Caenorhabditis elegans: one gene and its partner. The protein of the gene in region 1 interacts with the protein of each later gene in a pairwise test. Each region holds a gene or a part of one and is shown on either strand. Other genes may lie near its edges.

What was found. Proteins that work in one complex are often made in the same cells at the same time.
Region 2: the proteins of kel-8 (region 1) and odr-8 interact in a two-hybrid assay, tested with the Caenorhabditis elegans proteins (one study listed by BioGRID).

Annotation. Positions count from the first base shown.
Region 1 is NC_003283.11:2,669,657-2,674,510, reverse strand, and holds the start of kel-8 (BTB domain-containing protein), read right to left. Parts: upstream 3,048-4,854; coding exon 2,988-3,047; intron 1,526-2,987; exon of another isoform or gene 1,511-1,525; coding exon of another isoform or gene 1,464-1,510; intron 1,416-1,463; coding exon of another isoform or gene 935-1,415; intron 882-934; coding exon of another isoform or gene 719-881; intron 660-718; coding exon of another isoform or gene 538-659; exon of another isoform or gene 344-537; intron 1-343. Other genes in the region: thum-1 (THUMP domain-containing protein), read right to left, coding at 538-659, 719-881, 935-1,415, 1,464-1,510; W02G9.4 (CUB domain-containing protein), read right to left, coding at 4,325-4,444, 4,531-4,684. UniProt on the Caenorhabditis elegans protein: Substrate-specific adapter of a BCR (BTB-CUL3-RBX1) E3 ubiquitin ligase complex that regulates degradation of glutamate receptors in neurons. The BCR(kel-8) ubiquitin ligase complex mediates ubiquitination and subsequent degradation of rpy-1.
Region 2 is NC_003282.8:6,579,288-6,584,388, forward strand, and holds odr-8 (Ufm1-specific protease), read right to left. Parts: upstream 3,418-5,101; 5' UTR 3,374-3,417; coding exon 3,260-3,373; intron 3,104-3,259; coding exon 2,929-3,103; intron 2,885-2,928; coding exon 2,703-2,884; intron 2,652-2,702; coding exon 2,457-2,651; intron 2,412-2,456; coding exon 2,315-2,411; intron 2,269-2,314; coding exon 2,111-2,268; intron 2,064-2,110; coding exon 1,964-2,063; intron 1,917-1,963; coding exon 1,767-1,916; intron 1,492-1,766; coding exon 1,310-1,491; intron 1,265-1,309; coding exon 1,168-1,264; intron 1,123-1,167; coding exon 954-1,122; intron 904-953; coding exon 753-903; 3' UTR 549-752; downstream 1-548. Other genes in the region: C43G2.3 (uncharacterized protein), read left to right, coding at 1-73; F38A5.2 (TraB domain-containing protein), read right to left, coding at 3,858-3,858, 4,387-4,496, 4,545-4,859, 4,905-5,042, 5,087-5,101. UniProt on the Caenorhabditis elegans protein: Thiol protease which recognizes and hydrolyzes the peptide bond at the C-terminal Gly of ufm-1, a ubiquitin-like modifier protein bound to a number of target proteins.

The sequences.
Region 1 (4,854 bases):
ATTATTGTAAAAATATTTCGTTCGTGGCGAGACCTTTTTCACAAACAATTTACAATAGTCCAAAAAATTTCAGCATACTGGAAAACCAGGCCAGATTGAATGCTCCCGAGTTTCGGCGGGGGGTGCGTGTAACTACTCGGTTTGTTTGACAATTTGGAAGAGCTGCGAGAGAGCGAAATAGTGTTGATTTTGGGGAGTGCGCAGAACGGGTGAGCTAGATTTTCGGGTTGGTTGCACGTTTTTTTTCTTGCTCGGTTGTGCATGAGACGCGCGCGAGCAAGGGTCGACCTGAGTTTTTGACACGTCACAGTTATAGATACCATGCATTTAAAAAATAATTAACAATCGAATCTCAAATTTCATGTATTTTAACAAATAAATAGCCAAAGTATTTTAACAGAACAAATGAAAAAAACAAAAAAAATTCGGTGCCTCATGCTGGAATCGAACCAGCGACCTTCTGTTTACTAGACAGACGCTCTGCCACTGAGCCAATGAGGCGCTGGGTGAAAGGGGGAAAAAGGTCGAAGAAGAGACTTATGTCGCTGCCGCTGCCGGCGTCGCACGAAGACTATACTTTCGGCGGTCGTAAAATTGCCGGCACACGCCAACCATAATTGTCGTACGAGATACTTGAACGAAGAATGTGACGTCGGCGTCTGGAATCATTGATTTTTTGATTTTTTTGAAATTTTTTCAGATTTTTAGAGACACTAACGATTTAGGCTAACTCTCGCAGTCGGAGCCAGCGCACAAACGGCGTCATCGACCATTTGGAGCACGGAATTCTTCGCCACAGAATCGTTATTTCTCGCTTTAAATTCCACGGAATACGTGGGAAGTTTGCCAGTGCCGTCTGCCTTCAATGTGTCGGAGATTACCTGAAAAATTACTTTTTTTTATTTTATTAATTAATTTAATTAAATAAAAGCACCTTCATCAAAACTTCATTCATTTTTGAAAGATCCACAGCTAAAGTATGCTCCACCGGGTAAACTCGTTGCAAAAACCTGCAACGCGGAGCTTTTTGCGTCAGCTCGACCATTTTTTCGGCTAAAAGTTGAATATTCGCGTTTTTCACGCTCACAAAAATGCAATTCTTCACTCCCGTCGGTCTTTGAATGCATCTTCTCTCTTTTTTCACGAAATTTCCCGGCTTCGGCTGCCTCTGATCATCACAAGCCTTTTTCAACGCATCGGCAATGTCTTCATCGGAATCTTCAGCTTCTGCTGGATTTCCGGGTGCTTCTGAGCCTTGTGGAGCAGCTTCTGGTGCTTTAAGAGAGATTCCATTCGCCGGGTCTTCGAGAAGCTCGTCAATAATACTGTAGGCTTCTTGTAGGGCCTGCTTTTCGTGGCCTTCGCAGGAAAAGAATAGTCCGGTCACTCCGGCTTCCACAGATTTTTGTTTAACTCTGAAATTGTCTTAGAATAGTTTTTTTTTCTCAAATTTTAGCTCTCACTTTTGATTCCATCGGTTATGCTTTCGTTTTCTGTCGTTATCTGCCATTTTCAGTGATTTTTTCTGGAAAAATTGAAATTTTTGAATGAAAATTATTGTTTTTGAAGTTTTTTAACGAAAAATCAACGAAAAATGCGAAAAAAACACATAAAAACAATTAAAAACAAAAAAAAACAATTAATATTCCCTCCAACTTCTCTAAATCTCTTCTCTCTTGCACGTAACCACAGAGCGCGTTTGCACACCTTTAATTGCAGAGTCACCACCACTTTATGTGAAACAAACTACGAAAAAGAGGCGGTTCTTTACAGCGAAACTTGAAAAGAGCAGCCTCACTTGATAATTAGATGAAAAAATTTTGAATATACATTTACTATTTTGACGGAAACGCTGGAATTTGCGAAAATTTCGTGATGGCGTGCAAAATGACCCGCACCTTTTTCCGGTATTCTTCTTCTAGAAAATATATATTTCCTGAAAAAAAAGCTGAAATTCACAATTTTTCGAGCAATTTTTGATGTATAATAAGTATATATCCCGAACAATTTACCAGTTTTTTCCCGATTCACCAGTAAATTTGCTTCACATTTGAACTGAACTATAGGTTATCTCGAGATTTTTATCTATGTACCATGTGTTGCGACATTACGAAAAAAACGAGTTCCGACACAAAGGCCATGCAATTAGGTAGTAAATTGGGTGACTAACTGTGTGACGCGGCTATTATGGGTACGCAGAAAAATCCACGTGGAAACGCGCTCCACTGCCAATAGGAAATTCTCGGCCCCCGCACCATGACCCGCTAGGTGTTTGGCGGCAAAATAGTACATTCGAACGTTTTGGATTAGTTATGCCGATTTCGCCGGTTTCCAAGAATTTTTTGCCATTTTTTTCCTGTTTCAAATTTCCCGTGGTTTTAATGTTTTTAGGCCAAATTGGTGTTTTTAGGCCAAAATGACGAATTTCTGATTACCCTCATAAATTGAAATGGAAGAGTTTGCCAAACTAGGCCATTTTGGCTCGGCCATTACTGGGGTAGATTTACGGCGAGTTGAGTGTCGCGCCGCGGCTCGATTTTAGTTGTAAAACTAAATGCATTTGTCCGTGTGGAGTACACGATTTACCCACGCGTTTTCCTTCGGACGATTATCAATGGAGCGCAAAAAATTCAATGAGGAAGGGTAGAACCCCGTTATTTCGGCAATTTTCCTGTTTTAATGATTTTTAGGCCAAAATCACGGGGTTCTGTCTTTCCTCAGAGAATTTTTCGCGCTCCATTGACAATCGCCCGGCGGACAACGCGTGTTAAAATCGTGTACTCCACACGGACAAATAGACTTAGTTTTACAACTAAAATCGAGCCGCGACGCGACACGCAACGCGCCGTAAATCTACCCCACTTATGGCCGAGCCAAAATGGCCTAGTTTGGCAAACTCTTCCATTTCAATTTATGAGAGGGAAGCCAGAAATCCGTGGTAGCTTACAAAATGAAATTCCAGAAAAAGTAAAATAGTTACCACCTACCGTATTAGAGCTTGACGGCATAGTTGGCGCCTCCGCGGTAGATCTGTTGAAGGTCCACATGTTTTTTTTTCGTGGTGTGTGTCGCCTGTCAGTCTGGTATTCTAGATGCCAGCTTCTTCCTCTCTCGATTCACTTCCCGCCCCCTGATTTTTTTGTGTGTGTCTGCGCCCCCACAGTGTCTCTCTCAACCTGTCTTGTACGTCCTGCGTCTTTTGTTACAGCTTCTGGTATCTTCTGAATATACCACAGCAGGAGGGGGACAGTCAGTTGATTGGCAGACAAAAACATGGCAATTATTTAGTGACAAGCTTTATGATTGTAGGCTTTAGGGTCTGGAGACTTGGGGATAGGACCCTGAACGGGATGTTTTGTTGAGGATGGGCACTTTGACCTCCAGAAAGCGCGGGAAATTATTGAAATTTGTGACGTCATATGAGTTTATAATGAGGCGCCAGTAGGTCAAACGATTTCTGTAGGTCAAGCCCTGAATAATGTCCGTCACAGTCGGCTGGTGCGTTGGAGCACATTTGATTATATTCAGGCCATTTTGACTCGGCCACGGCTGGGGTCGATTTTTGCCGGAATTGAAAATTTTCGGCAAATCGGCAAAATGCCGGAATTTAAAATTTTCGGCAAATTGGCACATTACCGGAAATGAAAATGTCCGGCAAATCAAGAAATCGCCGGAATTGACAATTTAGGACAAACTGGCAAATTTGCCGGAATTTAAAATTTCCGGCAAATCGGCAAATTGCCATAATTGAAAATTTCCTGCACATCGGCAAACTGGCGGAATAGAAAATTTCCGGCAAATCGGGAACTCGCCGGAATTGACAATTTCCGGCAAATCGGGGAGTTGCCGGAATTGAAAATTTCCGGCAAATCGGCAAACTGGCAAATTGCCGGAGTTGAAAATTTCCGGCTAATCGTGAAATTTGCCGGAATTCAAAATTTCCGGCAAATCGGCAAAATGGCAAATTGCCGAATTTGAAACCTTCCTTTGCCGAACTGCAATTTCCGCTCACCGATTTTCAATGGAGCGCGAAAAACCGCTACTAGAAGCCCGTGATGATGATCTACTGTAGATCAATGTGAAATTTTTCCCGCGTCCGGGCATAGAACAAAAATTTTATTTTTTAAAAACCAGCTTCTCTTCCTCCTAAAATTTCCCTTTTTATCGCCCTACCCCTCCCCCTTCAACCCAGATTTCTCTTATCACCCCCCCCCCCCCCCCATCACTAATTTTCTAATTTTCCTTTCACTTTCATACAGTAAGCGGCAAAAAATAATTGCGAAGAAATAATAATTCATTACATATTGAGAATTTCGGGGGACTACTAGATAGAGATAACCGGTGCTGCAGCAGCTCCAATAAGCTTCTTCTCCTCGGCCTTCTTTTTGAGCCAGTCGAGAATGTTCTTGTCACGACGAATCGCCACTGAATCCGTTGTCAGGGACTGAAAGATTAGTTTTTAGTGAAGCCCTAGGTACCTAGGCACAAAAATGCCTGCCTGCTTCCAAGCCGGCCTAGATCTTTTCTCACCTGTGGTAGTACTCCGCGCTTGAAGTTGTTCGAGACAAATGAGGTATACAGACCGGAGAATCCCGAGAAATTGGTGACCAAGTCTGAGGAGAAGCACAGGTACAAAGTGTTGCTCGTCGATGTTATTGGAGCTGGCATATTCTTTCCGGAATAACTGAAAAAATGGTTATTTTATAGTATCCTTGGATTAAGATCAGTGGGGGATATGGTCGGGGTACTGTAGGAGTATTGTAGGATTACTGTAGTTTAGGAACACTTGAGTTTTTGTCTTTTGAAGGGATATTGGTTTAGGGTCAGTGGGGGATATGGTCGGGTACTGTAGAA
Region 2 (5,101 bases), on another chromosome or scaffold:
ACCACTCGGAGGACAACTAACCCAGTGGGCACGAATGTATTTCGAACCGGATCAATTGGGCGAAGCAATTTAATTTGATGGATTTATGTTTTGTGAATAAAATGACTGAAAAATGAATTCGTTGGATTGAATTGTGTACAATTTTCGTTCAAAACAATACCTTTCAATTTTTGCGCAAGAATACGTTACATGGTCTCGATACGACAAATTTTCGAGCGTTGAAAAAGTACTGTAATTTCAAAATTTTTTTGCTGCCGAATTTTCATTTATTTTTCATAATATAACATTTCTTCCGATTTGATAAAATTTAACTATTAATAAATAGAAAGTGTTTTTTTAATCGAATGAAAAATTCCGCAGTAACGAAAGTTTGGAATTACAGTCCTCGGTTAAAGGCGCGTACCATTTGCATTTAAGGAAAACCGGGCACAGTTCTTTTAGCTCAACAACCCGCAAAAGTTGCGTATGGTTAATAAAATGAAATTTTTGAAGAACCAACAATTGGTAATTCGATGTTTCTAGATCGCCATGCTTGACTTGTACTCAACTTTTGACCAATTTTTTATTCCCAAAAAACGTTGGTTGGGCTATAGAAAGCATTTCTCTATAGAGGAAATAAATTAATCACAGACGAGAAAGGACTAATCCAGGTTTAAAAAAATATAGGAATTACAATGTAAATGGGTAGAAGGTTGGCAATAATTTAGATATATAATGCATTGTTTTTCATAGGCATGGTAATACAAAGTCACTCAAATAGCATCGCTAGGCGGTTGAGGAAGGACCATATTGTAGAAATGATCTTTGCTCCAGAAGCTCGCTGGTTTCCATGCACACCATCCTTTTGAAGTGATTGTTTTGATATCTTCGGAGCCAGTGTAATGAGGATCAAGAACGAGGAATCTGGAAATTATTGTGTTGCTATACTTCCAATTTGAAAAAAAAAAACTCACTTAGTCTCTCCAGTGGTATCATTGAAATCGACTCCAAGAATAGTATGTGCAAGCATATTTCCTCCGATCATAACAGGAGTTCCAGATGTTTCAAAATGTCGAGCAAGTTCACGAACTCTTTCGACAACTTCTGCGCCCGAGTTGGTAGCGATGAAACGGCATTCTAACTCTGAAATGTTTAACTATTAAATACAATTACTCAACAACTACTTACTGAGTAGCTCATTGAGCACAAAACTGATTTCAGTACTACCAATCCACTGTCGTGAACCAACAAACTTCGCTTGCTTGTCTTGAATATCAACAAGCGCCTGCAACAAATAAAACAACTTCAATTGAAATCTGCTTAAGCCAACCTGCTGAATTTCCCGATGACTTGGCACAGGTTTATCAGTATATCCATTCAAAATGAACCAACTCCAGATAGTTTGGAAACTACGATATGCACATCCCCATCCACTATCATCAATTCCATCTTGCATGTAATGATGATAATTGTACGGCCCATTTACAGTGGTTATTTCACCAACTGGTTGATCTGAAAATTAATTCTGAGTCTTTGCTTGTTTAGACCCAAAATTGCCAAAAACTTCCGCATTTCGTTATGAAACGTTCTGAAAATTTCTCAAAAGAAAAAGTTAATGCGGTTTTTTTTTCAGCTAAAATCTCGAATTTTGACAACTTGATGATTCAAACTTCCGCAATTTCCGGGTCTGTCAAGTTGGCAAAATTTGATGTCTCATTACGAAATTCTGTAGTTTTGGGTCCAACAAAGCAATGCCTCAAATTTCGGTACTCCATTTTTAAACATACAATTTGTTATAGACAAATGTGGCTCTCGAATGAGCTTCTTGTTGGTCAAACGAGCACTCTCTGAGTGGAGAGCCAACGCTTGAGACAATCGAAGAACTGGCTTAGATGATGGCAAGTTGAACAACTTGTGAAGACGAATACGGTAATTTCCTAGAAAATTGAATTTTTATAGAAGTTGAAACGCTTTCTATGAATACTTTGTTCATTGTCCGTCCATTTAGTTGGAAGTTGGAGATGAAGTAGAGAAACCCATCCAGGTGGAAGATAAGTTGCAGATGTGGTCGTTGTTACTCCGCGCTGCAAGATATCAATCGATATAAAAAATATTACATTTCAATTTTTACCCCAGCTCTTATTCCATTGACTGTAACCATCATTGTATTGTTAGCTCTTCTATTGAATGCCTCACGTGATCGTTTGTACAAATCCAGTGAAGAATCTCCAAAGAACGCTGGGAAAACTACCTCACCAATTGTGACGAGCCGAGTGAAATGTTTGTTATCTAAATTACGAATTTAATATCTTTATAAAATAACAAAATTCTTTACCCTTGGTAACCTTAACTGTTGGAACCAGCTTTTGATCTTCCGTATCATTAGATGTATCCCTAGTGAGAGATTGCATGGCAGTGAATTCGATAACATCCTGAAATTCCGTCAATCATATTAATTTTAGACAGTATTTCCAAACCTTATATGGTACAGCGCCTTTCGAGAATTTATCAAGATACTTCTGTTGAGCAGCTTCTGGCTTCTGCTCACGGATCACCAACCCGTGTTCAGCGTTTAGATATGTGAAACGAAAAGAAGCCATTGAAAGACGTTCGGCAGCAGATTTGACATCTTCTTGTTCACGACCTGCTCGAAGTGACCACTCGTATCCAACCTGAAACGGACCGTTTTTATTCAATAATTTAAAGATCTTATGGGAACGTACTCTGCTGACACAACTAGCTCCTTCCATAAGAACATGTTCATTGTTGAACATCACATTCATATCCAAAAATTCGCTGATACTTCGATTTTCAAGCATTCGAGATGTCAGCTGAAGGGTGAACTGCCCGCCAGGAAGAATCTGTGATTGTCCATCAATATTCAAGTTTCCAACCAGTTCAATATCTGAATTAAATCTCAGTTTTTAATAATATTATTCCATTAATTACCAGCAGACAGAGAGCTCTCCAAGAATTGTCTGTTCGATTCAGTCAGATCTTCAGCGTAGGCGAATAGCACATGGATAACCTGTTTCCGAGCTTTACGTCCGAAAACGAATCCGCCAATTGTCGTATTAATTTCGTTGGCATTGGATTTGGAGAACGAGCGGAGGTTGGCGTAATTCTTAAAATATTTCGTGTGAAATCTTTTATCTCGCAAGACTGATTTTGGAGTGTTTTCAGATTTTATTTCGTTTTTTTCCGTTTTTCAACTAGTATAGAAAATCGAATAATTTCAGCACTTCTTAAAACTTTCATAGCTCATTTCCACATAAATTACCTGAAACATTGCCTGCGCATCAATAAACCACAATTCATTCACAGGAGGTGGAGGTGTTGATTGTGGAGCCATCTGAGTTGGTCCAATTAGTGAGACAGTTTGAGAATTCGTCATTCTTCTTCTCTTCCAATCACCTTTCAAAAGATAATAATAGTTTATGGATATTACCACGAATCACGAGAGAATAATATTGAAATGTGTCATTTATACGACCAGCGAGCTGAATATGGGGACTTGTAGAAGGGGATTTTGCAATAGAGAGATGAATAATTTAAATTATTTGTGTATTTTACAAAGAAAACGAGAATAAATCAATCGATAAACGGAAGAAGCGGGTGGGACTAATAAATAAATTGCAATTTGTTTGGGCATTTAACAGAAAAGGATAGTTTAGAAAAAAATGGGAGAAGAAAAATTTTGTTTCAATTCTCAACCTATCTACACCCTAGAAATCGTATCACATTACAAGAAAAAGCGATTAAAAGTCCAATAATTAGACATAAACATTTTAGGAAAGAACAAAATAACGATGAAAACGCCTGTAGATCGAATGTAGACGGCTGCTATGCTGTTGTGCCCGCTTCAATCAATGAGTTGTTCTGAAAAGATATACGAGTTAGTGGGTTGGTTGTCATGGGTAACTTGTGCGGAGCAGGTGATACCAGAAAAGCTAATAACGAGAGAAGACGGGAGAAGCACGAAAATGAGATTAGGTTTGCTATTATTTCATTCTTTGAATGGGGAGTTGGTAATTCGCGTAATTTCTCATCCCTGTGGTACGGTTTTTCCTTCTTTTTTTTTGAATAAAAATATTATGTATCTAATTCAATTCCCATAAGATTGTGAGAATACTTCGTTTTTACAACAAATCTAACATGAAATTTCCTCATAATCGTATGAGAATTGAATTAGGTAACATTTTCATTAGAAAAAATAGTGAAACCAGTAAAATTGAGAACTTATCGAAAAAAAACCACCAAAAAACGGTGGAAAACAATGCCACAGGCTTGCAAAACTACGCGCTGCCTCTCTCTGTGCGACCTTGATTTTGCAAAATTCACGTTTAATTTCATCGTTTAATTTCAACATTCCCAAAACTAAATTTTAAACAAAAATTTCCAACCTACCAACGAGACTCTATGAATGTGCTAACACGATTGAAGATAGCACGTCCTCCACGATAAGCCAAATATCCCAAAGATCCCCAGACAACAATACGGACGCCAGTGGAGAAAACCTGGAAATAAAGAAATGAAAGAATTAAAATAACTTCAGATTAATTTACCTTTGTTCCGAGGCTTGGTGGTGGGATGTTCATAAGTGGATCAAAATCAATATTTGTATTCCATTTGTTAACAATTCCTGGAGTATGTCCGATTCCAACGACAGCAACAACTGTCAACGGTTGAAATTGTTGCCCAGTTGTTCCACGAAGCCATTGTGCACGTTTTTCGACTGAGTTCCGGTGTACGAGCATATGCAAAGCATGCGTCATGTAGGCATCACGCTCTTCCACAAAGATTTGGGATAGTTGTGGGAAATCATCAGCCATCTCGGCGAGAAGTTGCTCCAGAAGGTCACGTTGCTTGCATCGTTCCACCTATAATTTTGGAATATTTTTGGAAAAGGTTGAATAATTAAATACCTCTTCTGCAGTTATCTTCTCACGATGTGAAAATGCAACGTGGAAGAAGAAGCGAATTTTTTGCCAGATGGAGAGAGAAGCCAGTGCACGTTGAAGTGTAACTTGAATAGGACGATCACCGAGAACTACACGACAATTCTGAAATAGTTACTTTGTAAATAAAACTTTTTAAATACTCAAACCTCAGTTGCAACTGC